7 linked regions of the Macaca fascicularis genome follow. The protein of the gene in region 5 purifies or fractionates together with the protein of the main gene of each other region. This does not show direct contact. Links are inferred from orthologs where the notes say so. Each region holds a gene or a part of one and is shown on either strand. Other genes may lie near its edges. The genes, in order: CAB39, CTTNBP2NL, FGFR1OP2, SLMAP, STK25, SIKE1 and PROSER2.

What was found.
Region 1: the proteins of STK25 (region 5) and CAB39 purify together in Homo sapiens (co-immunoprecipitation; 3 studies listed by BioGRID and IntAct, counting the BioPlex papers as one, with this or other methods). This does not show direct contact. The link is inferred for Macaca fascicularis from reciprocal best matches to the Homo sapiens genes STK25 and CAB39.
Region 2: the proteins of STK25 (region 5) and CTTNBP2NL purify together in Homo sapiens (affinity purification with mass spectrometry; 6 studies listed by BioGRID and IntAct, counting the BioPlex papers as one, with this or other methods). This does not show direct contact. The link is inferred for Macaca fascicularis from reciprocal best matches to the Homo sapiens genes STK25 and CTTNBP2NL.
Region 3: the proteins of STK25 (region 5) and FGFR1OP2 purify together in Homo sapiens (affinity purification with mass spectrometry; 5 studies listed by BioGRID and IntAct, with this or other methods). This does not show direct contact. The link is inferred for Macaca fascicularis from reciprocal best matches to the Homo sapiens genes STK25 and FGFR1OP2.
Region 4: the proteins of STK25 (region 5) and SLMAP purify together in Homo sapiens (affinity purification with mass spectrometry; 5 studies listed by BioGRID and IntAct, with this or other methods). This does not show direct contact. The link is inferred for Macaca fascicularis from reciprocal best matches to the Homo sapiens genes STK25 and SLMAP.
Region 6: the proteins of STK25 (region 5) and SIKE1 purify together in Homo sapiens (affinity purification with mass spectrometry; 4 studies listed by BioGRID and IntAct, with this or other methods). This does not show direct contact. The link is inferred for Macaca fascicularis from reciprocal best matches to the Homo sapiens genes STK25 and SIKE1.
Region 7: the proteins of STK25 (region 5) and PROSER2 purify together in Homo sapiens (affinity purification with mass spectrometry; 3 studies listed by BioGRID and IntAct, counting the BioPlex papers as one, with this or other methods). This does not show direct contact. The link is inferred for Macaca fascicularis from reciprocal best matches to the Homo sapiens genes STK25 and PROSER2.

The regions. Positions count from the first base shown.
Region 1 is NC_088386.1:126,737,656-126,739,970, forward strand, and holds part of CAB39 (calcium-binding protein 39), read left to right. Parts: intron 1-833; coding exon 834-977; intron 978-1,590; coding exon 1,591-1,779; 3' UTR 1,780-2,315. UniProt on the Homo sapiens protein: Component of a complex that binds and activates STK11/LKB1. In the complex, required to stabilize the interaction between CAB39/MO25 (CAB39/MO25alpha or CAB39L/MO25beta) and STK11/LKB1.
Region 2 is NC_088375.1:121,941,143-121,944,642, forward strand, and holds part of CTTNBP2NL (CTTNBP2 N-terminal-like protein), read right to left. Parts: intron 1,985-3,500; coding exon 1,754-1,984; intron 1-1,753. UniProt on the Homo sapiens protein: Regulates lamellipodial actin dynamics in a CTTN-dependent manner. Associates with core striatin-interacting phosphatase and kinase (STRIPAK) complex to form CTTNBP2NL-STRIPAK complexes.
Region 3 is NC_088385.1:29,703,033-29,706,532, reverse strand, and holds part of FGFR1OP2 (FGFR1 oncogene partner 2), read right to left. Parts: intron 2,180-3,500; 5' UTR 2,166-2,179; coding exon 2,031-2,165; intron 1-2,030. UniProt on the Homo sapiens protein: May be involved in wound healing pathway.
Region 4 is NC_088376.1:120,997,491-121,000,990, reverse strand, and holds part of SLMAP (sarcolemmal membrane-associated protein), read right to left. Parts: intron 2,240-3,500; coding exon 2,105-2,239; intron 1-2,104. UniProt on the Homo sapiens protein: Associates with the striatin-interacting phosphatase and kinase (STRIPAK) core complex, forming the extended (SIKE1:SLMAP)STRIPAK complex.
Region 5 is NC_088386.1:137,458,475-137,462,432, forward strand, and holds the start of STK25 (serine/threonine-protein kinase 25), read right to left. Parts: upstream 2,459-3,958; coding exon 2,429-2,458; exon of another isoform or gene 2,079-2,428; intron 1-2,078. Other genes in the region: uncharacterized protein, read left to right, coding at 2,457-3,449. UniProt on the Homo sapiens protein: Oxidant stress-activated serine/threonine kinase that may play a role in the response to environmental stress.
Region 6 is NC_088375.1:119,590,416-119,594,703, reverse strand, and holds the start of SIKE1 (suppressor of IKBKE 1), read right to left. Parts: upstream 2,801-4,288; 5' UTR 2,729-2,800; coding exon 2,558-2,728; exon of another isoform or gene 2,508-2,557; intron 2,337-2,507; coding exon 2,231-2,336; intron 1,407-2,230; coding exon 1,264-1,406; intron 1-1,263.
Region 7 is NC_088383.1:12,721,739-12,725,699, reverse strand, and holds the start of PROSER2 (proline and serine-rich protein 2), read right to left. Parts: upstream 2,801-3,961; 5' UTR 2,685-2,800; intron 1-2,684.

The sequences.
Region 1 (2,315 bases), about 11 Mb from region 5:
TGCCTCTGCCCACAAGGTCCGCAGCTTGGGCAGCCCCACTGCTGGCTCTGCACACTCAGCTTTGGCCAGGTTGTTGGCATGTTGACAACCTGAAGAAGTGACTGCTGGTTTTAGGAAAGAGTAAGCAATGACAGTTTAAAAGTTGTGAGTTTACATGATACAACCAACTTTCCAGAAATTAGTAAACCCTGAAGTAAACAGATGTTTTTCAGCGTAATTGGTATAACTAGTGATAATGAGGGTCGGTAAGAAAACCCTGGATCATCTTCAGGAGACTTAAGAAGGAGCAGAAAAATACTCACTTGTGTAAACCTTTCTGAATTAGCTGTGATAAAATGGTACCTGTGGCAAGTGCAGGGTTCATGTATGGAAAACTTGGGACACAAAACCCTTCATCCTGGAAAGTCCCGCTAAATAAAATTTTAAAATAGTTATTTTAAATTAAGCTAAGGTTTGTGGTTAGTTAACAGGAATAATCAATAGCTTTTGACCATTTTCTGAATAGTTTCTAACACAAATGCACGCTTAAAGGGGAGGCTCTGAGAGTCTCCAGCTCAGGGCGGAGGGGACATCTTGAACATCCTCTGCAGAGAGCAGCGTCAGGCCTCCTGTAGATTTCATCTCCTCAGGGAAAGGTAGGAAGGCATTCAGGTGGCAGAGAGAAGGCCCTTGGTAGCTTTTAGTTTGTAATTCAGTTCAGTTCTTCAGTCTTTTGAGTGCCTACTAATATGCTATGCTTAATGATGATTATGAAATAAATTATTTTTTTAAACTTTGATTTTTCCTTAAATTTTAATAACAATGTAAGAGTAATTATTTAAATGTCTTCTCAGCTTCTCGGTGAACTACTACTAGATAGACACAACTTCACAATTATGACAAAATACATCAGTAAACCTGAGAACCTCAAATTAATGATGAACCTGCTGCGAGACAAAAGTCGCAACATCCAGTTTGAGGCCTTTCACGTTTTTAAGGTAGAGTATAGAACCACCAGTGACACTGTCCACTAGAATTGATCGTCGTCTTTCGTTTGCAAATGACGGAAATTATTAGCCTCACTTTGGTAATCCAGGTGACTTAATTAAATTCAGTCACTTTTCATATTTGTGTGCTATGACTTTTAAACAGAAAGGTAGACCTGGAAACAGGGGTTACTATTTGGATTTGGGAACAAGAAAGTTTATTTATAGAGGAGTGTCATTTATCTTTGGCCTAGAAGATTATTAACTGCAAAACAAAAGCATTTCTTAATGCTTGCTGTGGAGGTGTCATTCTTAAAATCCAGTCTGACCTCTTGTGCGGAGAAATAATTTCTGCCCGTTTTATTCTAAAATCAGAGTCTGTATTTAATACTGCACACTGTGTTGCAGGGCTGGCAGAATGAGTTTATCAGTCGTATTAGTGTTAAAACATGTAATTATTTCTCTCAGTTGTAAAATAAGGTCTTCTACAGCAAAACCTAACGACCCTGACTTCAGCGCCACCCCAGGAGAGCGTAGCTCTGTGCTTTCCTGCGCTGTGGCTGCAGCTCAGGGTGGCTGCGTTTTCTTCTTTCTCTGTGCCTCATGTGCATTTCTCCCCATGCAGGTGTTTGTAGCCAATCCTAACAAGACACAGCCCATCCTAGACATCCTCCTCAAGAACCAGACCAAACTCATAGAGTTCCTCAGCAAGTTTCAGAATGACAGGACGGAGGATGAGCAGTTTAACGACGAGAAGACCTATTTAGTTAAACAGATCAGGGATTTGAAGAGACCAGCTCAGCAAGAAGCTTAATCTCCAATAAACATCTATGTTAAATCCAAATTCAGCGTTTGCTGTTAGCTATTCAGCATCAGGCACTCTTACTGATTCATGAGGAACATTACTGCTAATCTGCTGTTAAGTGAACGGTTTTTCATTTTACCCTTTTGTTTTTCAGTCCAGGTTGGAAATCGTAGCTGCTGCTGCTTGCACACTAGGGCACATGTGGGCTTTCTCTTGATCTTTGTGTCATTTCAGAATTCGAAGTACTACGGGAGTTCTGAACATGGCTGGGTTCATGAAGGCAAATGTATGGATGAGAGTGTGGTTTAGGAAAGAGGGCATTGATACCAGATTAGACCTATGTGTTTGCACCCATCTTTGTTGGCGATCTGAGTGCAGTGTGGCAAGTGCACACCTGGCATCCCTGCGTCAGATCGTACCCCTTCGCTGAAGGAAAATGACGCAGAGCTTTATCTGAAATCAGAGGGGAACTGTATCCAAAATGGGAGTTTGGGGGCAGATAAAGTTGACATGCGAATAAATTGATACTGAAACTTAGCAACTTC
Region 2 (3,500 bases), on a different chromosome or scaffold from region 5:
GCCGAGACTGCACCACTGCATTCCAGCCTAGGTGACAGAGTAAGACTTCATCTCAAAAAAAGAAAAAAAAAACGTTGGTACTTCGTTTCAAAAATTTAGTACTTAAAACATTTAGCACTGCAATATAGTATTAAGAAATTTTGAATTATTTTTAACTTCTTCCTCTCTCCAATCACCTAGAGCCACAAACTGTCCATAGTACACCTTCCATGGGCATGAAAGCTAGCCCAACTAGCTTCAACACAACTCAGTCACCTCATGGATGAAGTGGAAATAAAGCCTGCCTATTAAACAAGAATGTTGTGAAGATTTTTTAGAGGATTATGTAAAAGCTGCCCCCCGCCCCAAATTTAGGCAACTAACTCCCACCCATTGATAACCTTTTAAATTGGAGTGTAAATGTTTTCAGATTACTTCATTCTAATCAGAGGTTAAAACTTTTTTGGGTCTTGGGTAACTGGTAACTTGGAGAATCTAATTAAAGCTATGGAAAAAATACATTTCCTACAAAAATACATAAACTCTGAACATTCTATTTTCTGGGGGATTGTGGAACATCTGAGGCCTATCCACATGGTTAAGAAGTTCCACTCTGGCCTTTCATTTGGCGTCTGTGAAGGGAAAGAAAAGATCACGTGCGAGACCCAGAGCCTAGAAAATTTATCAGATGCAATTTAAGCAGATGGCTCTAATACTGGTAACCAGAAAAGTAAGGTCCACCAAATTTTGCAGCTGCTAACCCAGTTTTTCAGATGAAAATGTTTCCTACCAAATGCACTGATAACTGCCTTGTTGGCATAAATCTAAACTGATAGTGTTTTAAAAATGAAGATTGTAGCCAAGCATCTTTTACAGGCCAAATTTGAGCAGTAAATGACAAGATGACAAGTTGGTGAATAAATTCACAAGCACTAGAATTCCAGTAAGATGAAGCAGAGGAAAGCACTGGTTTGCCTTCTTAGGGCTTGTAAGAAATGGAAACACACACACACACTCTTTACTGATAGGGTAGAACAGCTTTAAGGTAAGTAATGTAAATAACTGTAAGGTTTGTCTTCCTAATGTAGGGCTTGTTAAATATGGAAACACACACACTCTTTTCTAATAGGGTAGAACAGCTTTAAGGTAAATAAGGTAAATAACTGTAAGGTTTGTCTTCCTAATTTAGGGCTCGTTAAATATGGAAACACACACACAACACTTCACTAATAGAGTAGAACACCTTTAAGGTAAATAAACCTAGGGACTATTTATGGTTTCATGAGCAACAAAATGCAATGAAACTCAAAACTAGGAATAACAGGAATAAATGAAAATAATCTATTGGCTTCTGTGTTTATCCTCAGGTAAATTCTTTCTCTCCCTTGGATATAGCATGCCTCAAATACCTGTCAATCTTTTTATTTATCTCTTAAGTAAGCAAATAGAGAACACTCCCTTCAGCTACAAGCTTGGCCAAACCCCAAAGTTTGAATGATCAAGAACTGAAAAAACATACAAAGTGTTTTGGAGTGATATATCAAGAAGGAATGCCGTCTTAAATAATGTGTCTGGCACATTCTCTAAACTTAACACTTGGAATAAGCTGTGTTTTCTTTTCTATCTCCTGACTCTTACATAAACTAAGGGGTTTTTTGATACCCGCGAGATGCCCAATTGAATTACTGTGAAAAACTGGCAGCTGACAAGAAAGTATCAGGCATAATTTATCAAGACTTCACAAAGATTTACACATCAACTGAGGGGAACCTACCTTTCGGTGCCTGCTCTCAGCGGCAGCCAGCTGGGACAGCATGCGCTCCTGCATGTTCTTGCACTGCTTCATCACCACCTTAAGAATAGAGAGTGGGTTTGTGCAGACTGGCTGCTTTTCGCCATCATTTTTCTCCTTCAGTGTTTCAAAATCTCTCTGTAGAGCCATTAAAGGATCACTGATGTTATATTTTCCATAGCGTTCTTCAATGAAAGTATCTCTGTGTTGGGCCTGGGAAAGAGGAAAAAAAAAATAAGCATCTTGTTTTTTAAAACTACTGAGAAGGGGGTATTTGCTATCCAGTGGTTATACATTAAAGGTTGTGGTATTAGTATAAATGTAACCTGCTAATTACAAGTCAGATTGAGCCATCTAAAGAAACAGCATTAGAAAGGTGGCATGGTATATTAACAAGAACAAATACTTATAAAGCACTGGGTATTAGACATTGTTCTAAATATTTATAGTCATATTAACTCGTTTAAAATGTACAACCCTGTAAGGTAGTGCTATCATCTCGATTTTGCTGATGAGAAAACTATTCCTGGTTACTCATCTAGCAAGTTGTCTGAATTGGCATTTAAACCCAGGCAGCCCGGCTCCAAAATCTGTGTCCTTAACCTCTGTGCTTACTGCCTCTGCTTGTATCTGCTTATGAATGCTTATATTACCAGCAGATACATGTTATTTTTTTCCCATGTTATGGCACTAGCATTCCTAAAATATGTTAAGCACGACAATTTTATGAGTTTATATATTTAGAGACCTAACAAAATGCCAGCAGATATATAAAGTGTGCAAAATATAAGTAGGATCACATGACAATCTAGGATGACTTGTGATCTGTACATATGAACCATTACTCAGTTGTTGATGGGTCAAGGAGGATGGAGGCACCTCACAACCAGAAATGCACACAAAATCTCTTCCACCTGCTGCCAAATTCCACCCCCTCTTCTTGTCTCTGTTTGGTTGTTACTTTCCATTCTCTTTTCTGTCTCTTTCAAGGCTTGATGAGCCTTGGGGATGTGCATGTAAGAAGGGGATGCAAGGTGGTGCTTGGAGTCTGGTTAAGGGCTTTAGCCCTGGGTACCCAGTTGGAAGTATAAGGATCAGGAGGTGGGTGGAAAGATATTCCTAGGCTTCCTTCCCTCTTTCCTTATCTCTGTAGCAAGACCTTGAAGAACTTCATATGAGCATCACATATTACACGCACATTACTTTTTACTTATTACACAGATATTTAAAAGTTTCTTGAGATATTTTGCAATGAAAAATGAAGTGTTAACAGGGTTGAAGAAACTAAAAAATTACAGCAAAGTACTATGTAATTTAAGCTTTCAAATTAAATCTATTCATGAAAACTACTATTATTTATCCATTTTTAAAAACTGTTTAATCAGTAGTTATGTTAGCACCGCCATCCACAAATAGGAGCCTGTTTAAAAAGAAACGGAAGGTTGCAATTCAATGGCTATGCTTTAATTTAAAAGAATCTTTAAGAAAATAAAGCAAACATGGGGTTTCTTTAACACAGAAGTATTTCAGTGCTGAAAATCTGAAGACTTCTTCATTGACTGTTCAATTTAGGCCCCAGGAATCACTTAGCCTTATGGTAAAATTTTATGTTGTTATTAGCTGGCAAATATTCAAAGCAGTTAGAAGTTCGGGGTTTTACTTCTGGCTCGACTACAGCCATCTTACTTTATGACATTACTGGAGTATTTGGATGGTATTTGTATACTGG
Region 3 (3,500 bases), on a different chromosome or scaffold from region 5:
AATGGCCAATAAGCACATGACAAGATGTTTAATTAAAATAACTAGTCATTAGGAGAATGCAATTCAATATATCCCACTAGGATGATTATAATGAAAAAGACAATAACAATTGTTGGAGAGGATGTGAAGAAATTGCATGCAACCTTCCATACATTGTTGATGGAATGTAAAATGATGTAGCTCAGAGGTGTCCAATCTTTTGGCTTCCCTGGGCACACTGGAAGAAGAATTGTCAGGCCGCACATAAAATACACTAACACTAACGATAGCTGATGACCTTTTTTTAAAAAAAAAAAAAATCTCATAATGTTTTAAGAAAGTTTGCAAATTTGTATTGGGCTGCATTCAAAGCCATCCTGGACCATATGCAGCCAGCAAGTCACAAGTCGGACAAGCTTGGTGTAGCTGCTTTGGGAAACAACGTGCCAGATCCTCAAAAAATTTAAGAGAGTTATTACGTGACCCATCCATTCTACTTCTACATATATACCCAAGAAAACTGAAAACATATGTCCACACAGAAACGTGTACACAAATATTCATAGTAGCATATATTCTTACCAGCCAAAAAAGTAAAATAATCCAAATGCCTATCAAACGACGAATGGATAAGCACAATGTGCTGTATCCTTACAATGCAATATTATTTGGTAATAAACAGGAATGAAGTACGGATAACATGCTACAACATAGATGAACCTTAAAAACATTATGTTAAGAAGCCAATCACAAAAAGCTGCATATTTTATCATTTCATTCATATAAAATGTCCAGAATAGGCAAATCCATACAGACAGAAATATTAGTGGTTGCCAGAGACTGAGGAAAGGGGAAACTAGAGAGAGACCACTGATGGATGTAAGGTTTTGTGGTGATGAAAATGTTCTGGAATCAGATAGTGGTTATACTGTATAACCTGCAAGTGTGTACTAAAATCCAATGAACTGTACCCTTCAAAAAAGTAAATTTTATGGTATGTGAATATCTTAATAATAATAATAGCACATGTACAAAAGAAATGCAGAAAGACTTTCCATTAAGAAAATGAGAATCTTATTTTACAATTGCACTAATTTATTTTCAAGGCATTCTCACGAGACACTTAGTAATATATTCATTATAACACTCCTGGTTCTTAACTTCAGATGTGAAACTCCCTTTTTAACAACTCAATACCAGATATATGTTCACTGAAGTGCCTGAGTCTAGCTGGACAGTTGGTTAGGGATGCAGGTAATCTGTTTAGGGCAACACAGTTGTAAAACCAAATAACTAAACTTGCTCCACTATTTCCAGTAGCTTTGTTAAAAATACTATCCCAGAATTGCTTCCTTTTACAAAACAGATGAGGAGAGTTAGCCGTGAATATACATTCTCCCCCTCTGATTTCCATCATAATGTCAAAGATTTTATAATTTTCTTAAATGACTTGAAAATTTTTACCAGAAGGTTAAAATAGTGTCTAAACTCCGTGGCCCATGGGAATATTCTGTTACACAACAGTAAAAATAGCAAGAAGAAAGCCCTTTTTATGTATTCTTTAATTGGTAGCATTGAATGAAAAATAAGGCAGCAAGTATGGGTATAATAACTGCACAGAGTGTAAATCACATATTACCTTGCATCATTTTCAAAAGCTATTTTGTTGTTAAACAGCATCACCTTAAGTACTTTTATAAAGAAAAATATGAACATTTCCACATTATACAAGACAGAACAAAATGTGTACCAACATTAGTAAAAGGTATTATCTGGTCTTTGTCAAATGTTTCTAGATCTAACAAATTCATTTATTTTCTAAACTCAAATGCGCAACTTTGTCAGCAAAATAAGTGATCAAATCTAGGGTTTAGAAATATATGTCCATGTATGTCACCTGAACACGACAAAATTAAAGTAAATCTGAAATACACAGGTCAAACTACTTTAAAATTTTAGAGAATGTTGAAAAAATTAGATACTAATTAGCCAGCAATACATAAATGTCAATGACTGCTTTCGATAAATGGAATGAACAAGAAAAATCAAACCTGTTTCATGGCTTCTACTCGCTTGTTGAGAGCTGTGGTTTGCTCAATCAGAGATTCTGCGGCATCGTCATGATCTCTTAATCTTTCAACAAGAGCTTTAGCATCAGCAAGTGCCTTCTCAATTGTGCAACTCATTTCTAAAGATATATCTATAATTAAAATTAAAATCAAGACTCAAAGTCAACATATCTATTTTAGTTTCAGGTCAACACAGATATGCTTCTTAAGACACATTTGTTACAGTATTGTTCACTGTCCAGGGAGGAAAAAACACCTAAGAACACTGTGGTTTTGCTTCTGTTAGGATGGTACAAACTTGAAAGTAAATTTACACTGCTACAAAAAAATTAGAACACAGTTAAAAGATTTACAGATGGAACTAGAGTGTATTTAAAACACTCAGAACTGACAGTGGGGAAAAAAGTACATTTCCAGTGAATATAACGTTATACAGAAATTTGCCCTTTATGAGGGCATTCCCTATCTTGTCACTTTTGAGAAAGATCATTTGGTTCGTTGTTCTGTATTCTGGGGTCAATGACCATCAGATTTCTGACTGTAAGAATGCTTCCTAACCTCTGCTTGGTCAGGGGACTTGAGACACTGTTCACAAACACTGCTGACCAGCCAAAGTGGCCTCAATGTGTCATGCTACATCAAAGTCTCAACCTCCTCTTGGAAGAACTTTTGCTTCTTACATAAAGTTGCATTGTAATTCTAACGCTTGCGTCTTCCTTAGTAAATTGCAAAAAAAGAGTTTTGACTTAGGACAAAACTGGTAATTACAGGAAACGTCCAATATGTTAAAATCAGTAAGTAATATGTTTAAGAGTAGCTGAAAAAATTATGAGAGAAAACATGAAACAGTCAATTGTCAGCTTCTTCAACTGGTATACAGAAACCTCAAACAAAATTTTAATAATTTTAAACAGTCTCTTTCCAAAACTTAAGTTTCTTCTGAAACTTACCCTCCTTGAAATCTTTTATCTTTCTTTTTTTTCAATTTGAAATAGAGTCTCGCTCTGTTGACCAGGCTGGAGTGCAATGGCATGATCTCAGCTCACTGCAAGCTCTGCCTCCCAGGTTCATGCCATTCTCCTGCCTCAGCCTCCCAAGTAGCTGGGACTACAGGCACCTGCCACCACACCTAGCTAATTTTTTTTTATTTTTAGTAGAGACGGGGTTTCACCATGTTAGCCAGATGGTCTCGATCTCCTGACCTCATGATCTGCCCACCTCGGCCCCCTCAAAGTGCTGGGATTACAGGCGTGAGCCACCATGCCCGGCCGAAATCTTTTCTTTCTACTAAGTTTTACCTAACTTTCAATGCAAGCCATCCTTTCTTCAGAGTTTTCTCAAAAAATAAAATCACACTAAATTACCAGGCCAGAAGCCAGGTTTACAGAAGTTAAATTAAAACTTTGGTGTAGATCCAAGTGAAGGGTTATAAACAAAGATTTTCATTAACTG
Region 4 (3,500 bases), on a different chromosome or scaffold from region 5:
TAATTCCAGCTACTTGGGAAGCTGAGGTGGGAGGATTGCTTGAGCCGGGAAGGTCAAGGCTGCAGTGAGGTGAGATCACGCCACTGCACTCCAGCCTGGGTGACAGAGCAAGACCCTGTCTCCAAAAAAATAAAAAACAAAAAAACAAAAAACAAACCACTGACAACACTTCACCATCAGCTGATGCTCTCTGCTTGACAGTACACTATTTTTGCTCGATACCTGAAATCCATTATTTGACAATGTACTCCCTTAGCAATGGTTAAAGTTTATTTTATGCCTCTAACAAAATCTTTTTTTTTTCAACTAAAGCTCTTTTGCTTATTAGATGATACAGCTTTCAAGCTTAAAAATAAAAGCCCTGTGACAATGCGTGCTTCCTAAATCAGGCAAGACATTTGACATGTAATAAAGGTTTGGTTATATATAAAGACAGGCAGGGCTGGATGCGGTGGCTCACGCCTATAATCCCAGCACTTTGGGAGGCCGAGGTGGGCAGATCACCTGAGGTCGGGAGTTCGAGCCCAGCCTGACCAACATGGAGAAACCCCATCTCTACTAAAAATACAAAATTAGCCAGGTGTGGTGGCGCATGCTGTAATCCCAGCTATTCGGGAGGCTGAGGCAGGAGAATCGCTTGAACCCGGGAGGTGGATGTTGCGGTGAGCTGAGATCATGCCATTGCACTCCAGCCTGGGCAGCAAGAGTGAAACTCCATCTCAAACCAAAAAAAAAAAGAAAAAAAAAAAAAGAAAAAAAAGGCAGCTGACTCTCAGGGCTTTCAATTATGTTACCAGAATATAATTATAATAATTTTTAAAATGGGAAGAAAATTGCTACAATGAGTGTTATTACAGAGTGATATTTTAGTACCATAAGTGCAATATCACAAAAAAAGGAAATTCACCCCTAAGGTGAATTGTAGCTATAAATAATAATAGCAAAGTTACTTTTGAAAAGGTTCTAAATAGTACGGGGGGGATCCATTCTGATTATGCTAGATGTCTTCATGGGTTATTGAGCAGTAGACTGAAATTCCAAAATCCCAAGGATATGAATTAACACAAAAGAAAGACGTAATCAAACCACTGTGATCTGATTTTAGAAGAGTTATGTAATCTACATTTTGAAAAGTAAATGCAAACCATTTTCCTTAGCATAAAGCCTCCACACCCAGTTCATCAACTTCTAAAAGACTTCTACCTAAGCAGCAAGCCTTTATTATCTACAAACTAAGACTTTCTTTAGCAAAGGACAGTTGGACGCAACTCATGAGCATTCTGTGTGCAAATGAGTAACAGGATGGCCATGCAACATCACTCTTTTGTACTTGTGCTGCAAGGTAAGCAGAGTGGCTTCCTCCATAGGAAGTATGTGGCTCACGCACACTGCAGTGTCCAAGCCATGACAGTGGTTTTAAATAAGTCAGAGCACAACCAACCACACTAAACATCTATCAGGGCCCACAAAGGTAACGATCACCAAACGTACAACACAACATTTATTTAGTATAGTATCTTTTTAAAGACCATCTGTCTTTCTAGCAAATGAAAAACAAAAAAATATTAAACTCAATTTACACCAAAATGTTCATCTCTCTCCCTCTCTCATGGGACTACAGAAACTCACCAAATATTTTCTAATATTTATATAATGACAAAGAGACATTAAGCTTTTTAGAAACTGTGCCTCAGTGAGAACATTATTGGTATAAGAACAACATATACTACTCTGTCTTAAATGGATCCCTGGTGGTACAGTGCTTCATTTCCCAGCAGGGGAGAAATAAGAGCCAGATGATAGCTTAGTGACAGAGCTTCAGACTCATCTGGGAAAACCTGACAGTTCTTAGGCAAGCTGCTTTATTGCAAACAAGACTCTTCCTCCAGGCAGTCCCGAGGCTCTTCTAGGGGTATAGGTTAAAGGCACAAATTCTTACTTAAAAATCTGACAGCACAGTGATTCTATCATGGAATTTCATAATGAAAAGCCTACTTCATTTGTACCATTTGCTTCACAAATCAGTGATAAAGTCCTTTGAAAATCAATTTCAATCTCTCATGTGCCTCTCAATCAAAGCTAAGCCAAGTTTGCAAAGACTTACATTATTTCCTTTCTCTCGGAGCAGCTTCAGGTTGTTTTTACACTGTTTGAGCTCATCTGTGATTGACTGCTTTTCCTGCTCAGTCATTTCAAACTTCAACTTCAGTTCTGAGAGTACAGTCTGTGTCTTTTCATACTAAAGGCAAAGAAAAAAAAAGTGTGCAGATTCAACTTAAAATGGGTATGAAGTTATGGTTCTAGTCAGGCTTATATGCCAGACCCTATTTAGTCACCTGGAACACCAAAGTCAAGTCTTTTTGTTTAAGGAGGAATAACTTGCACTCATAAGAAGTCTTTTGGCTGAGCGCGGTGGCTCACGCCTGTAATCCCAGCACTCTGGCAGGCCAAAGTGGGCGGACCACGAGGTTAGGAGTTTGAGATCAGCCTGACCAACATGGAGAAATCCCATCTCTACCAAGAATACAAAAATTAGCTGGGTGTGGTGGCGCATGCCTGTAATCCCAGCTACTCCTCAGGAGGCTGAGAAAGGAGAATTGCTTGAACCTGGGAGGCAGAGGTTGCAGTGAGCCAAGATAGTGCCACTGTGCACTGCAGCCTGGGTAACAGAGGCAGACTCCATCTCAAAAAAAAAAAAAAAGAAAAAAAAAAGAAGTCTTTAATGTTGACTTTATTCTATGTAAGAATTTTCTGGCCCTGGAGTTAAAAAAAATTAAGAGTAATCACCATTTTGTCATCTGTTTTTAATATAAAGGATCACTTTTCCCACCAAGTGAATTATAGGAAAAAAGGAAAATTTCAAACTGAGCAAAAGAGCAGGTGAAGAAAAATTCCATAGCCAACGTTAGGAAGCCTGAGTTTATATCCTGGTAAGGAGTGTCAGCCAAACTATTTCAGTCTTGAAGTAAAAAGTATTAATTCCCTATAGGTTTCCCTTTACCCAGCATTACTGGGTATTAAAGTGTTCTGGATAAGTGAATTTTCTAGGCAGATGAAGCAAAGAAATGTATCTGAAGTACCCACCACTATGATTGGGAAATTTCTATTTCTCCACTTAAAACAGGCATCGGCTGTGCACGGTTGCTCACATCTGTAATTCCAGCACTTTGGGAGGCCAAGGTGGGCGGATCACTTGAGGTCAGGAGTTCGAGACTAGCCTGGCCAACGTGGCAAAACCCCATCTCTACTAAAAATACAAAATTAGCCAGGCATGGTGGCACATGCCTGTAATCCCAGCTACTTGGGAGGCTGAGGCTGGAGAATCGCTTGAACCCGGGAGGTGGAGGTTGCAGTGAGCTGATATTGCACCACTGCACTCTAGCCTGGGCAATAAGAGTAAAACTCCATCATCTCAAAAAACAAAACAAAACAAAAAAAACTTAGGTTATCAACTAAAAGTCATTTAAAAAAATCCGTTTCTGGTAGACATTTTATTTTTA
Region 5 (3,958 bases):
AGTGCGCCCACACTCCCTCCCCAGTGCGCCCACTCCCTTCCCCAGTGCACCCACACTCCCTCCCCAGTGCGCCCACACTCCCTTCCCCAGTGCGCCCACTCCCTTCCCCAGTGCGCCCACACTCCCTCCCCAGTGCGCCCACACTCCCTTCCCCAGTGTGCCTACTCCCTTCCCCAGTGCACCCACACTCCCTTCCCCAGTGCCCACACTCCCCCCCCAGTGCGCCCACTCCCTTCCCCAGTGCGCCCACTCCCTTCCCCAGTGCACCCACACTCCCTCCCCAGTGCGCCCACACTCCCTTCCCCAGTGTGCCTACTCCCTTCCCCAGTGCGCCCACACTCCCTTCCCCAGTGCGCCCACTCCCTTCCCCAGTGCGCCTACTCCCTTCCCCAGTGCCCACACTCCCTTCCCCAGTGCGCCCACACTCCCTCCCCAGTGCCCACACTCCCTCCCCAGTGCCCACACTCCCTCCCCAGTGCGCCCACACTCCCTTCCCCAGTGCGCCCACTCCCTTCCCAGTGCGCACACTCCCTTCCCCAGTGCGCCTACTCCCTTCCCCAGTGCCCACACTCCCTCCCCAGTACGTCTACTCCCTTCCCCAGTGCCCACACTCCCTTCCCCAGTGCGCCCACACTCCCTTCCCCAGTGCACCCACACTCCCTCCCCAGTGCGCCCACTCCCTTCCCCAGTGCACCCACACTCCCTCCCCAGTGCGCCCACACTCCCTCCCCAGTGCACCCACTCCCTTCCCCAGTGCACCCACTCCCTTCCCCAGTGCGCCCACTCCCTTCCCTGGGTCTGATCGCACCAAGAACCAACAGCACACAGTCACAGGGCACCTCAGAGCTCCAATTTCTCATCCCGTGACCCAAAGGAGCTATTTCTGCAGTTCTTAAAAATAAACTGGTGGCCGGGCACGGTGTCTCACGCCTGTAATCCCAGCACTTTGGGAGGCCACGGCAAGCAGATCACCTGAGGTCAGGAGTTTGAGACCAGCTTGACCAACATGGTGAAACTCCGTCTCTACTAAAAATACAAAATTAGCTGGGCGTGATGGCACACGCCTGTAATCCCAGCTACTCGTGAGGCCAAGACAGGAGAATGGCTTGTACCTGGGAGGCAGAGGTTGCAGTGAGCTGAGATTGCGCCATTGCACTCCAGCCTGAGCAACAAAAGTGAAACTCTGTCTCAAAAAAATAAAAAATAAAAATAAAATAAATTGGTGACAGATTTTTCTCCCAGCACCTTAGTCATGTAAGTTACCAGATACAGAAAGTCAAAAATCTGTTAGCTTAATTCAGCATCAGTCAGCAAGCCCCAGTCCCATCTGTGACCGCGCAGGTCCAGGCTGCCTGGCCCAAGAGCTGCACACGGTATTCCGGGTCTCTAGGCTGGTCCAGTTTCCTCCAAAGCAGCCCTGACTCCAGTTCCTGCCCCTATGCGGACAGACGCCCTTCCTGTTCCACTGCACACCCAGCTCTCAGGAATTCAGCACAGAGGAGTGAACAAGGAGGGCCACACATTTTAGCGGCGATTCCAACACCTTAGGCAGAGCCAAGGCATCAAGGAGAGCAAAACCGAACGCTAAGACGTAAAAAAACCCAGCAGCCAGAGTCAAAAAAATGGGGAGAGGTACACAGTGCAAGTCTCCAGGTCCCAGGCTGGCTGTCCCCACCCTCCTTCCCTGGCATGCCCTGTGGCAGCAGCAGCTGGTCCTCATTCCAGACTAAGGGCTCGCTGTAGTGGCTCCCTCCGAGGCTGTCCCACCAGACGCTTCAAGGTGGCTCCATAGTGGAACCGACTTCTTCAAAGAGGAATGACGAGCCTCCTGTTCGGGCAACCGCCCGTAGCAGGGGTTAAACGGTTCTGAACAGAGCAGCCTTTTCACCTTCCCCTGGGCCAAAGCACACACGCGTTTTCCGCTTTCCCTGCACACCGGCCGCTCAGATCGGCTTCTCCACGTTCCCAGCCCCTCAGCGCCCATCAGGGTCTCCTCTACGGCCCCCGCCCAGCCCAACACGGCCAGAACGGCCGGAACGACCCGTGGCCCGGGCTCAGGCCGCAGTGTGGCCCCTGACCTTCCACTGCCTTCAGATGCCGACACGAGGTTCCCGCCCCGCGCTGGGGGCAGCGTCCTGTCCCGGAGCCGGTGTCTCTTCACGCACCTCCGCCGCCCTCGCACAGGCGGAGCCACCCGGGGCTCGGTGTCAAGAGGTCTGCGAGCTCCTACCACGCAAAACGCCACAAGCACACGGCAGAGCCCGGGGGCCGCCCTGCGCCCACCTCAGGACGGCTCCGCTGGTCGCACGACGCGCGCTCCTTCCCTCACCCACCGCCCGCTCCGGCGAGGCGCCCCTCGGAGCCCCCGGGAAGCTCTGGCGCCCCTCGCTGAGAGGCCGCTAGTCTTCCTGAACTGCACCCTCCTCACCTGGTTGGCAAATCCCCGGAGGTGAGCCATGGCCGGGCCGCCTCGGACCCTCCGCCGACAGCCCCGAGAGGCGTCTGGATCCCGCGGAGAGGCGTGGAGCCGGCTCGCTCGCCCCTGCGGCGTCAGTCCACTGCGAGGGACAGCAGGAGCGGTCGGCGCCCAGTTCAGTCATCTGAGACCGAGCTCCGGGGCGGCGGGCTGGAGGGGGGCCCCAGGAGACCCCCAGGCCATCGGGGCCCCGCCACGCCCGGGCCTACAGCCCAGGCTCCCGGGGACTCGCCGCCCCTCCCGTCCCCGCCCCCACCTCTTCCGAGGCAGCTTCCTCCCGGTGCCCCCGCCCCGGAGTCCCCGCCACCGAGCCCCGCCCCGGGCCCCTCCCTCCGCCCCCTCCCCAATCGCCGCTAACGCGCGCCCGGCAGCGCGCCCACCTCCGCGGGGCTCCATCCCGGCCTCCCCCGGCCCGCTCTGCAGCGCCCGCGAAGGCTCCCACCCGCAGCCTCTGTTCGCCCGGGGACCCCGGGCCTCCCAGCCCGCGAAGCAACGGCGGTGGCGGCAGCGACAGGAGAAAGCCCGGAGGAGGCGACGGCGAGGGCGGTATTCGGCGTCGCGGCCCGCGCACGGCTCTCTGGGACCCCGAGTCCCACCGCCCATTCCGGGCCCGGAAGCCTGCTGGCGTTGGACTACAAGTCCCGGCAGGCCGCGAGAGAGGGGCGGGGCTCACATGCGCCCCGCGAGGCTCTCTGGGACCCCGAGTCCCACCGCCCATTCCGGGCCCGGAAGTCTGCTGGCGTTGCACTACAAGTCCCGGCAGGCCGCGAGAGAGGGGCGGGGCTCACATGCGCGCCGCGAGGCTCTCTGGGACCCCGAGTTCGGCTCCCGAAAGGCTTGGACTGCGTCTCCCAGCAGGGCGCGCGGCGGGGCGGGCGGGGCACGTGGTCGTTGTCGCGTCGCGTCTTCCGTGCCTCGCCCTCGCTGGCCTTCTGCGTCTGCTGGCGCCTGCAGGGCGTCGTCTCCGACGTGACGGCGGCCGCGCGGCGTTTCCCTTGGGCTCTGCCCTGCGCAGCCCTGGTCCGAGCTGGCCAGTAAGGCCCCGCGCCCTCCCCGCCTCGCCCCGAGGATCCACCGCGGCCGCCCAGGCTGTTGGCCTTGTCCTCACGGCTCGGAGATAAGCCGGCGCTGGTCACACCGCGAAACCCCTGTTCGCACCGAGACCCCGCTCGGGATCATGCGCACAGGCCAGGGCGCAGCAAGCCTTGGAGAAGCTACCTGCACAGCCCATTCCTTGCGCGACCTTCGCATCTTCTGCCTCAGTTTCCTTACCTGTAAAGGGGTGATCATAGGACATCCTTGGTCACACCTTTGTGGGACCCACCTGGGCTAGAGCGCGGTACCCGCCCAGGACAGTGACTGCTGCTGGAAACCGTCGTGGCACTGGGGTCACCTCCCCAAGGTCAGGGAGGGACTTGCAGAGCCCAAGGCTACCTGGTGCGCCCCCCTGCCCCGTGGGCCGCCAGGTCATAGTGCCCCCTG
Region 6 (4,288 bases), on a different chromosome or scaffold from region 5:
TGGCTGTTTAACTTAAATTTGAATACTTTCACTGGCAGGAAGCTTACTACATTCCAAGGTGCCTTATTCTATCTTTGGACATATCACTTAGAAAGTTTATCTATCTGAGTAAACTGTCTCTTTCAAAGTTCAGGTTTTTTCCTCCATATGAGAATAAATAAAATCTATTTTTCTCTTCCAGTTGAAAGCCATTCAAATATTTAAAATATCTGTTTCCTAAAACTTTTAAGTCAGTAAAATGCATTCAATGTAATTTAAGATGAAGCTTATATTTCACTACATCTCACAGAAGTAGTAGGCTCCAACTTATACATCTAGAATTAAATGACACAGTACACACGAATGTACAATGACAACCATGAAGCACCTACAAACATAAGAACAATTACCGAGTCTCCCAAATTAGATAATAAGCAATCAAAGCATAGAAACTATGCCATGTTTGTTTTTTTTAAAAACCATACTTCTATCCCCTAATAACATAGTATGATGCTATGTGGTTCAGTTTATAAAAGGTTTATTGACTGCTTGCTATATGTCAGGTACTATGTTAGGAATAAAATGTGAATTCAAGTGCCTCACAACCAAGGAGCTTAAGTGAAATGTATAATAACCAACCAAGTATTTACTGGGCACCTTCAACACTAACTGACATTACGTTTGGTGTGAGGGCTAAGAATTAATGAACATTTTCAAAAGAGATCTTGGTGAGGGAGGGGGAACGTTAGTCCCATTCAAATAAAAGGACCTGAGCAACCACTATCCTTCTTTCTATTCATATCTTTACAAAGCCATGGCAAAATAAACAACAAATATGATAAACATGAAAGGAAAACAAGCTTACTTTTCTTCAAAAACAAGCACACATGGCCAGTCACAGTGGCTCATGCCTATAATCCCAGCACTTTGGAAGGCTAACGTGGGTTGATCGCTTGAGCCCAGGAGTTTCAGACCAGCCTGGGCAACATGGCGAAACCTCATCTCTACAAAAAAAAAAAAAAAATAATAATAATAAAAAACCCCACAAAAATTAACAGGGCATGGTGGTGTGCACCTGTAGTCCCAGCTGCTCAGGAGGCAGAGGTGAGAGGATGGCTTGACCCCAGAAGGCAGAGGTTGCAGTGAGCTGAGATCGTGCCATTACACCACAGCCTGGTCGACAGAGCCAGACCCTGTCTCAAAAAGCAAAAAAACAAGCACACAATCTAAAACAATCTCAAGATTTCAATTTGGTTCATTTCAAATTTATTCGAAGTTTCTTACTGCAGAGTGAGACTGGTGAGCTTTCAGGACTGGTTCAGCATCCACAGCTTTTTTAGCAACCATTAACTGTAACATCTGTTTCCGGTACTTGCTCATGATGAGCTCCAAAGCATCCTGGTGTTCCTCCAAGGAAATCCACAGCTCTGTCAAAAAATAAAATAACTTGGCAGTGATGTCTGAGAGACAGTTCCCAAATCCAAAGTCTTAACAGTTAGAATTTTGCAATACTATAGAGATAATATGAATCCAAGGTTGTAAATCAATGTTTCAGTCCACAAAACTGAGCAGTTAAAGTCTATGTTAAAGGTAACTTTCTAGGCAGAGAAGCAAAATCTTGCAGTAACAACAACGGATATGTCATCAGAAGACATGGATTTGAGTTCAGTTCTGTAACTTGCTTGGTTAATACTCATAAGTAAATCATTTAGCTTCTCTGAGCCTATTTCTTAACAGCATTGTGATAGATAAAAATGAAGATATGAGAATACAGTAGAATGATATATGTGAAACCCCTCTGGTAAACAACTATTAATACTACAGTCATTAATAATGTACTAATCAAGCCTAAGAATATATACCCTTAGAGTAAAATTCTGCTGCTTCACCTTGCACAAACAAGAACATAAACAAAACCTTAAATCTTACCTTCAGTGTTTATATTAATATTTAAACATTAAATTTTAAGTCCATGAGGATATGAACTCTTTTGTTACACATCTGGAGATGCTTAAAAATAAACCATGCAATAATTCTAACTCTACATAGCCCCTCTTTGGTAAGCTGCTACAAAATCAGTCAGATGACCTTGAAATGGGTAATCTAACAAACTTTACTGTTACTGAGCCAGCACAGGAGGACTCTCCTACTAAAAGTACTGACCTGGAAATAGATGCACACCCTTGTGAATGTTTAGGGCAATTTTGCAGTAACTTTAAACTATTACCAGATATGAAAAGGCCTGACTAACCTCTGTTTTCCTGTTGCAAGTCTCTAATCTGTGTGTTCTCTTGAGACAGCAGAATGTGAGGTTTGTATTTGGACATGTCCTTCATATCGGATGCATCCTCTTGATACTGGACAAATAGAGACAGTCTAAGCATGCCTTAAAGAGAACAGCGGCAGATGCAACTCAAGTGGCAGAAGTCAGGGCTCTAGGGCAGGATTCTCAGCTCCGACCCAGGAAAAAGGTCTCACCGCCGCCCTCTGAGACCGGGAATAAATTTCAGGCCGAGTTCCCACTTTACCTCGCTCTCCACCCTTCAGTGCCCAGAATCCGAGAGCACTGGACTCCTACCCTCTGCCTGACCTGGTCCGGAAGCGCTGTCCCCGCCTCCCGCATAGCGGCTACCCGCCGGTGCAGCGCTGCCGACTGATCCACCAGCGACTCGGCAGCCGCATCGTGCTCCCGCAGCCTCTCCAGAAGCGTCTTGGCGTCTGTCAGGATCTTCTCGATGGTGCAGCTCATAGCAGCAGCACAACCCCAGCCCCTGCCGGGCTCAGCTACGCGACTCGCTCAGATCTTCTGGGAGTCTGTCTCAGCATTACTGGCGTCACTTCCGGGCACGTTTAAAAGGTGTCTTGGCAGACGCAAGAGGCGCCTGCGCAGTGGCACCCTATTTTGCGGGTTCACCCGCTTTTACCTGTGGCTTCCTTGCAGTCCTGCCTGACGCGGAGCCCCAGACCTGCCCTTACCACGCTCTTGGTTTCCAGTTGCCACAGCCTGGTGGTCAGGCCATGATGAGCTGGGCAGAAGGAAGGTCTCTTTTCCCCACTGGTTTTCATTGATGTGGATTGTTATTCAGTCACAGTTATTTTCTTTTTATTTTCATTTAATTTTTATTTATTTTTTTTCGTTTTTGAGACGGTATCTTGGTATCTTGCTCTTGTCGCCCAGACTGCAGTGCAGTGGCGCGATCTTGGCTCACTGCAACCTATGGCTCCAGGGTTCAAGCGATTCTCCTGCCTCAGCCTCCCGAGTAGCTGGGATTACAGGCATGCACCACCATGCCGGCTAATTTTTCTATTTTTAGTAGAAACGGGGTTTCACATGTTGGCCAGGCTGGTTTTGAACTCCTGACCTCAAGTGATCTGCCTGCCTCGGCCTCCCAAAGTGTTGGTGTGAACCACTGCGCCTGGCCTACTTTCATTTAAGTTTTAAAAAATTGTGGCAAAATGCACATAAAATTTAATATCTCAGCCATTTTTAAGTGTACAGTTCAGTAGTATATTCATATGGTTATACAGCCACCATCAGCATCCATTTCTAGAACTCCTTCGTCTTGCAGTACTGAAGTTCTGCACTCTTTAAACAATAACTCCTCATTCTTCCTTATCCCCAGCCCCTGGCAACCACCATTCTACTTTGTCTCTACAAATCTGACTATTCTGGGTACCTGACGTGAGTGAAATCATACAGCATTTATATTCATATAACTGCCTTGTTTCACTTAGCGTAATGTCCACGAGTTTCATCCACACAGTAGCATATGTTAGAATGTTCTTCCTTTTTAAGGCTGAATAATATGTATATGCCACGTTTTGTTTATCCATTCATCCGCTGGACAGTTGGGTTGCTTCCGCCTTTTGCTATTGTAAATAATGCTGCTATTACAACTGGCTCACGTCTGGCTGTTTGTTGCCTAGAGGCCAAAATCATGAGAAGTGACTGATGATGAAAGGAAAGCAGTTTTACTAATCAAACGCTCGCAGATGGGGAATGGCTACACTCATGCCTTCAAAACAGCATTCCGCTTTTTTTTTTTTTTTTTTGTCAACGTATCCCAGAGACAGTATCAGTGTCCAAACTTTAATTTTGTCCCATATCAATGCCAGGGTGGTGTGCTACCTGTCCTGAGTCCATCATGTCACTCCTGCGGCCAACCGACTTAGAGTCAAAAGAGTTACAGCCAATTAAACATTCTAGGCCAGATGGGGAAGGAGGTGGGCAGGCACTCATTAACCTTAAAACTCCTCTTAAGCAATGTTAAGAGCCAAAAACCAAAAACCAAAAGGCAAGGTTACAAAA
Region 7 (3,961 bases), on a different chromosome or scaffold from region 5:
CACCAGACACAAGAGGCCACAGATTCTAAGATTCCACGTGTATAAACATCCAGAAGGGGCAAGTCTACCAAGACAGAAGGAGATCAGTGGTTGCCAGGGGTTGGGAGAGGGGAACGGGAATCGTCTGCTTAATGGGTTTCCTTTTGGAGTGATGAAAAAGTTCTGGAACTCGACAGTGGTGATGATTGCCTAACATTGGGAATGGAATGTACTTAATGCCACTGATTTGTGCCCTTTAAAGTGGTAAATTTTATGTTCTATGTATTTGACTATAATAAAAAAGATAAACAGCATCAAGTCTTCACGGTGCTCGAGTCTCTGGCAGTACCCAGTCTGAAGACACGTTCACGAAGAGCTCTCCCATCCCTGTCCGGCAAGGCAGAATGCTCTCCCCATATGATCCTTTCCTGCCCATCCTGAATGCACAGATTACAAACCCAGCACCAACTTTCTTAAAATACTCTTAGTTTTCAAGATGAATGCTGCCAGTCTAGAAAGGGGACAAGGGCATTATGGACAGGGGCAGCTTCCCTGTGGGTTCCGCAGACAGAGGCTGTTGTTGCCACTGGCTGGACATAACCCGTGCAGAGGGCAGCGCCTCCGTGAACACAGGCTTTCCTATGGTGGCCAGGAGACCCCTCAGAGTGGAGCGGGGATGGCTGCAGTCTATCAGGGGCAGAGTTACCAGGCCCTCTTCTCAGAGCACACAGGCAGCTAGGAAGCCACCAAGTGCAAAGAAAGGTGACACGCGGCGATGGCCTTCACCGTCAAAGGAAAGAGCTCGGGTTCTGGGATGCTCCTAGGATTCCCCTGGCACCTCCCGAATGGCCTCTGTGCCACTGGCAGCTGTCCCACAACACTGCAGATAAGATGCACTTGAACTTCTAGTTCTAGAGGCTCCCCTGTTCTCAGCTCTGCTCTACCCAGGCCCTTCCTCTCTCCCCCTTCAGGTTTCCAGGCTCCACTCCTGGAGTTATCTGAGATGATCTTCCAAATCAACACACAGTGCCAACTCTGGGCGCCTCGGGTGTCTGAGAACTTTGGAACCAAGGCCAGGTATCTCTTCAGCTGCTGATGAAGGCTTGCTTGATCTGGTTTTAATCAGTTTGGGCCATGTGGCTGTTATCTAGAAAAGACTGTATGCTGGATGTCCAGTCACGGCTCTGCGCGCTGTAAGTGGTCAGTCTACAAATATTCCTGAATGAATTAACGAGCAAATCCCACCCCCCCGCGACCCCTCCGTAACCAGAGATTCAAACACGCTCAAACTTTCCTAAAAGCATCGCTCCTCTTCCCAGCTTTCGCTCCACTATCACTCTAATTTTGGATTTCTGATTTCTAGTAATGGAGAAAATATGTTACTTTTAAATCGTCAGCATCTAAAATTTTCAAAGAAAGCTCATCTGAAGTGCTGTTACCAAGGGATATAATCCAATCGCATTAAAATGGCTATTACTAGTCTGGACAAGAAAACACACAAGATTCCATACATACGCTGTCAACTTTGGCAAGAAAGATTTTAGACAACTTCCATCCTTCCCACCCAATCCCAAGTCAATAGGGCATTTGTTTGTATTTCCACATTGGCTTCACGAACGAAAATACCTCCTCCACCTAGAAAAACAACCAGTAAAATTCAGACACAGAACTTGGAGGGCAATCGTTTTAGTGCATGCTGGGACACTTTTATGTAGTGTTTTTTAAAAATAACGTAGAAAAGTATTTTTAATAAAGTTTTCTCCTATGAGCATTTCCCTCAAGTTTCCACGTATGCCTGGTTTGGTCTTTCGATACCTTTCAGAAATACAGATTTTTAAAAAATGATCTCCGTTAAAATTGGAGCCAGAAAGAACCTTCTTCCTACAGATCTGAACGTTTTACTCTGTTTAGGGTGGAAAAAGACACACACAGTCATTTTCCTTCACTCACTTTTAACTTCTCTGCTCTGCACGCACGAGGTTCTGGTAAAGAGTTAAAAGTTTTCTGAGGTTAGTTCCTGCGGTTAAGGGAAAAAAAAAAAAAATACACCAAACAACTAGATGCTTAAATTTAGACTCCGTAAAACAATACTGGGAAACTTTCAAAGCCTTGGAGAAATACTGGAGTTTATTTTATTGCCTTTTGTTCAATTTCATCACACGGGTCACATTTTCTCCTCTATTTTAGTCCCTCCCGCCGGCTGGGTTGGGCAGACCCTGCACATTCCCGCGTGATTCCAGGACCTGGGGGCCCGGGTGGAACAGGTGGCTCCGCCCGCCGCGTCGGACCCGCACCCTCTCCGCGAGGCCGCATGGGGGTCCCACAGCGCAAGGGAGAGCGGTCCCGGGCTGGGGGACAGGCGTCGGGGACAGCGGGGACGCTCTGCGCCCAAGGCTGGGAAACCCGCCTCCACCCCTGCGCCCCCAGGACAGCCCCAGACTCGGAACCCAGCGCGCTCCCCGCCGCGCCCCGACTCAGAGGTCCCCGAGGAGGCAGCGACGCCCCGGGGTCAGGGTTCGGGCACCGGGTGGCCTCTGCGGCAGCGCCGGGCTCCCCCAGTCGGAGCGAGAAGCGCGCAAGGCAGGGTCCGGCGCCCCCTCTCTGCCCGACCCGCCGGCGTCCCAGCCAGACCCCAGTGCCGCCACCGCCGCCAGGACGCCCTCCCGCCGCTCCAGCCGTGCCCGGAGTCCTAGGGCCGCACTCACCTCGCGGGAGAGCCCTACTCCGGGACTCAGGTGTCCACGCCGCCAGCGACCCTGAGCCCTGACGCCGGAGCCCTCACGCCGCCGCCCGTCCGGCGCAGATTGTCCCGGGCCGCCCCGCCGCGCGCTCTCCCCCGTGCGCGCCCACCCGTGCGCGCTCCACCGCGCACCGCGCGCTCGCGCCGCCGGGACTCGCGATCCTCAGGCACGCACTGCGCGCGCCCGCGGCGCTTAAAGGGCCAGGCCCCGCCGCGCTGCAGGACCCCGCGGCCGCCTCCCGGGTGCCCTCGGTCAAGGTGTGAAGTTCGAGTTGGGGGACATCACCGTGAAAATCCCCAACCCCATCGCCGAGCGACCCATGCAGAGAAAAGCAGTGGGGATGTGTGTCTGAAACTTACAAGAGATGGGACATTAATTTAATCTAATTTTTCTTGAGACAGGGTCTTGCTGTGTTGCCCAGGCTGGAGTGCACGTTGTGTGATCTTGGCTCACTGCAACCTCCACCTCCCAAGCTCAAGTGATCCTCCCAGCTCAGCCTCCCAAGTAGCTGGTACCACAGGTGCACGCCACCACACCCAGCTAATTTAAAATTTTTTGGAGAGATGGGTGGGGGTCTCATTATATTGCCCAGGCTGGTCTCGAACTCCTGGGCTCAAGCGATCCTCTCACTTCAGCCTCCCAAAGTGCTGGGATTACAGGCCTGAGCCACTGCACTTGGCCTTTAATTTTTTCTTTTCTTTTTTATTATCATCAGCTTGGAGAGGCTATTTTATACTTAATAATGCTGATGCAATTTATTGCATACCTGTACCCTCAGACACAGCATTTAATGTGCATACACCAAATACATTATTTCATCTAATCCTTAAAATGTTTTTCTGGTTTCTTAACCCCATTTTACAGAGCAGGAAAGCTGAGGTTCAGACAGCTGAAGAAACTCATGGGAGAATTTTTGACCCCATGGCTCATTGCATTTTCTTCTTCAGGCTATCACCGTGGAAATATCTCCCAAGGTTAATAGCTGGTTGCGGAAGGCTTTTGTAAGTTGGTGGAGGTTAATGTTACTGGGTTTAATTCGGTAGGCAGGGAGAAAGCAAGGATTATGGGGTTGTATTAATTGTAGGGTTTGTTACATACTCAAATGGCAAATGTTATAACAATCTAGATTCCCAAAATGTTTGTGTTTACTCCCATTTTACAGAAAACTAAGAAGGAAGTGGTTGCACAGAATGACTGAGTCACTGGCCCCACTCAGGGTTGAGCCCCAATGCCTTAGTCCT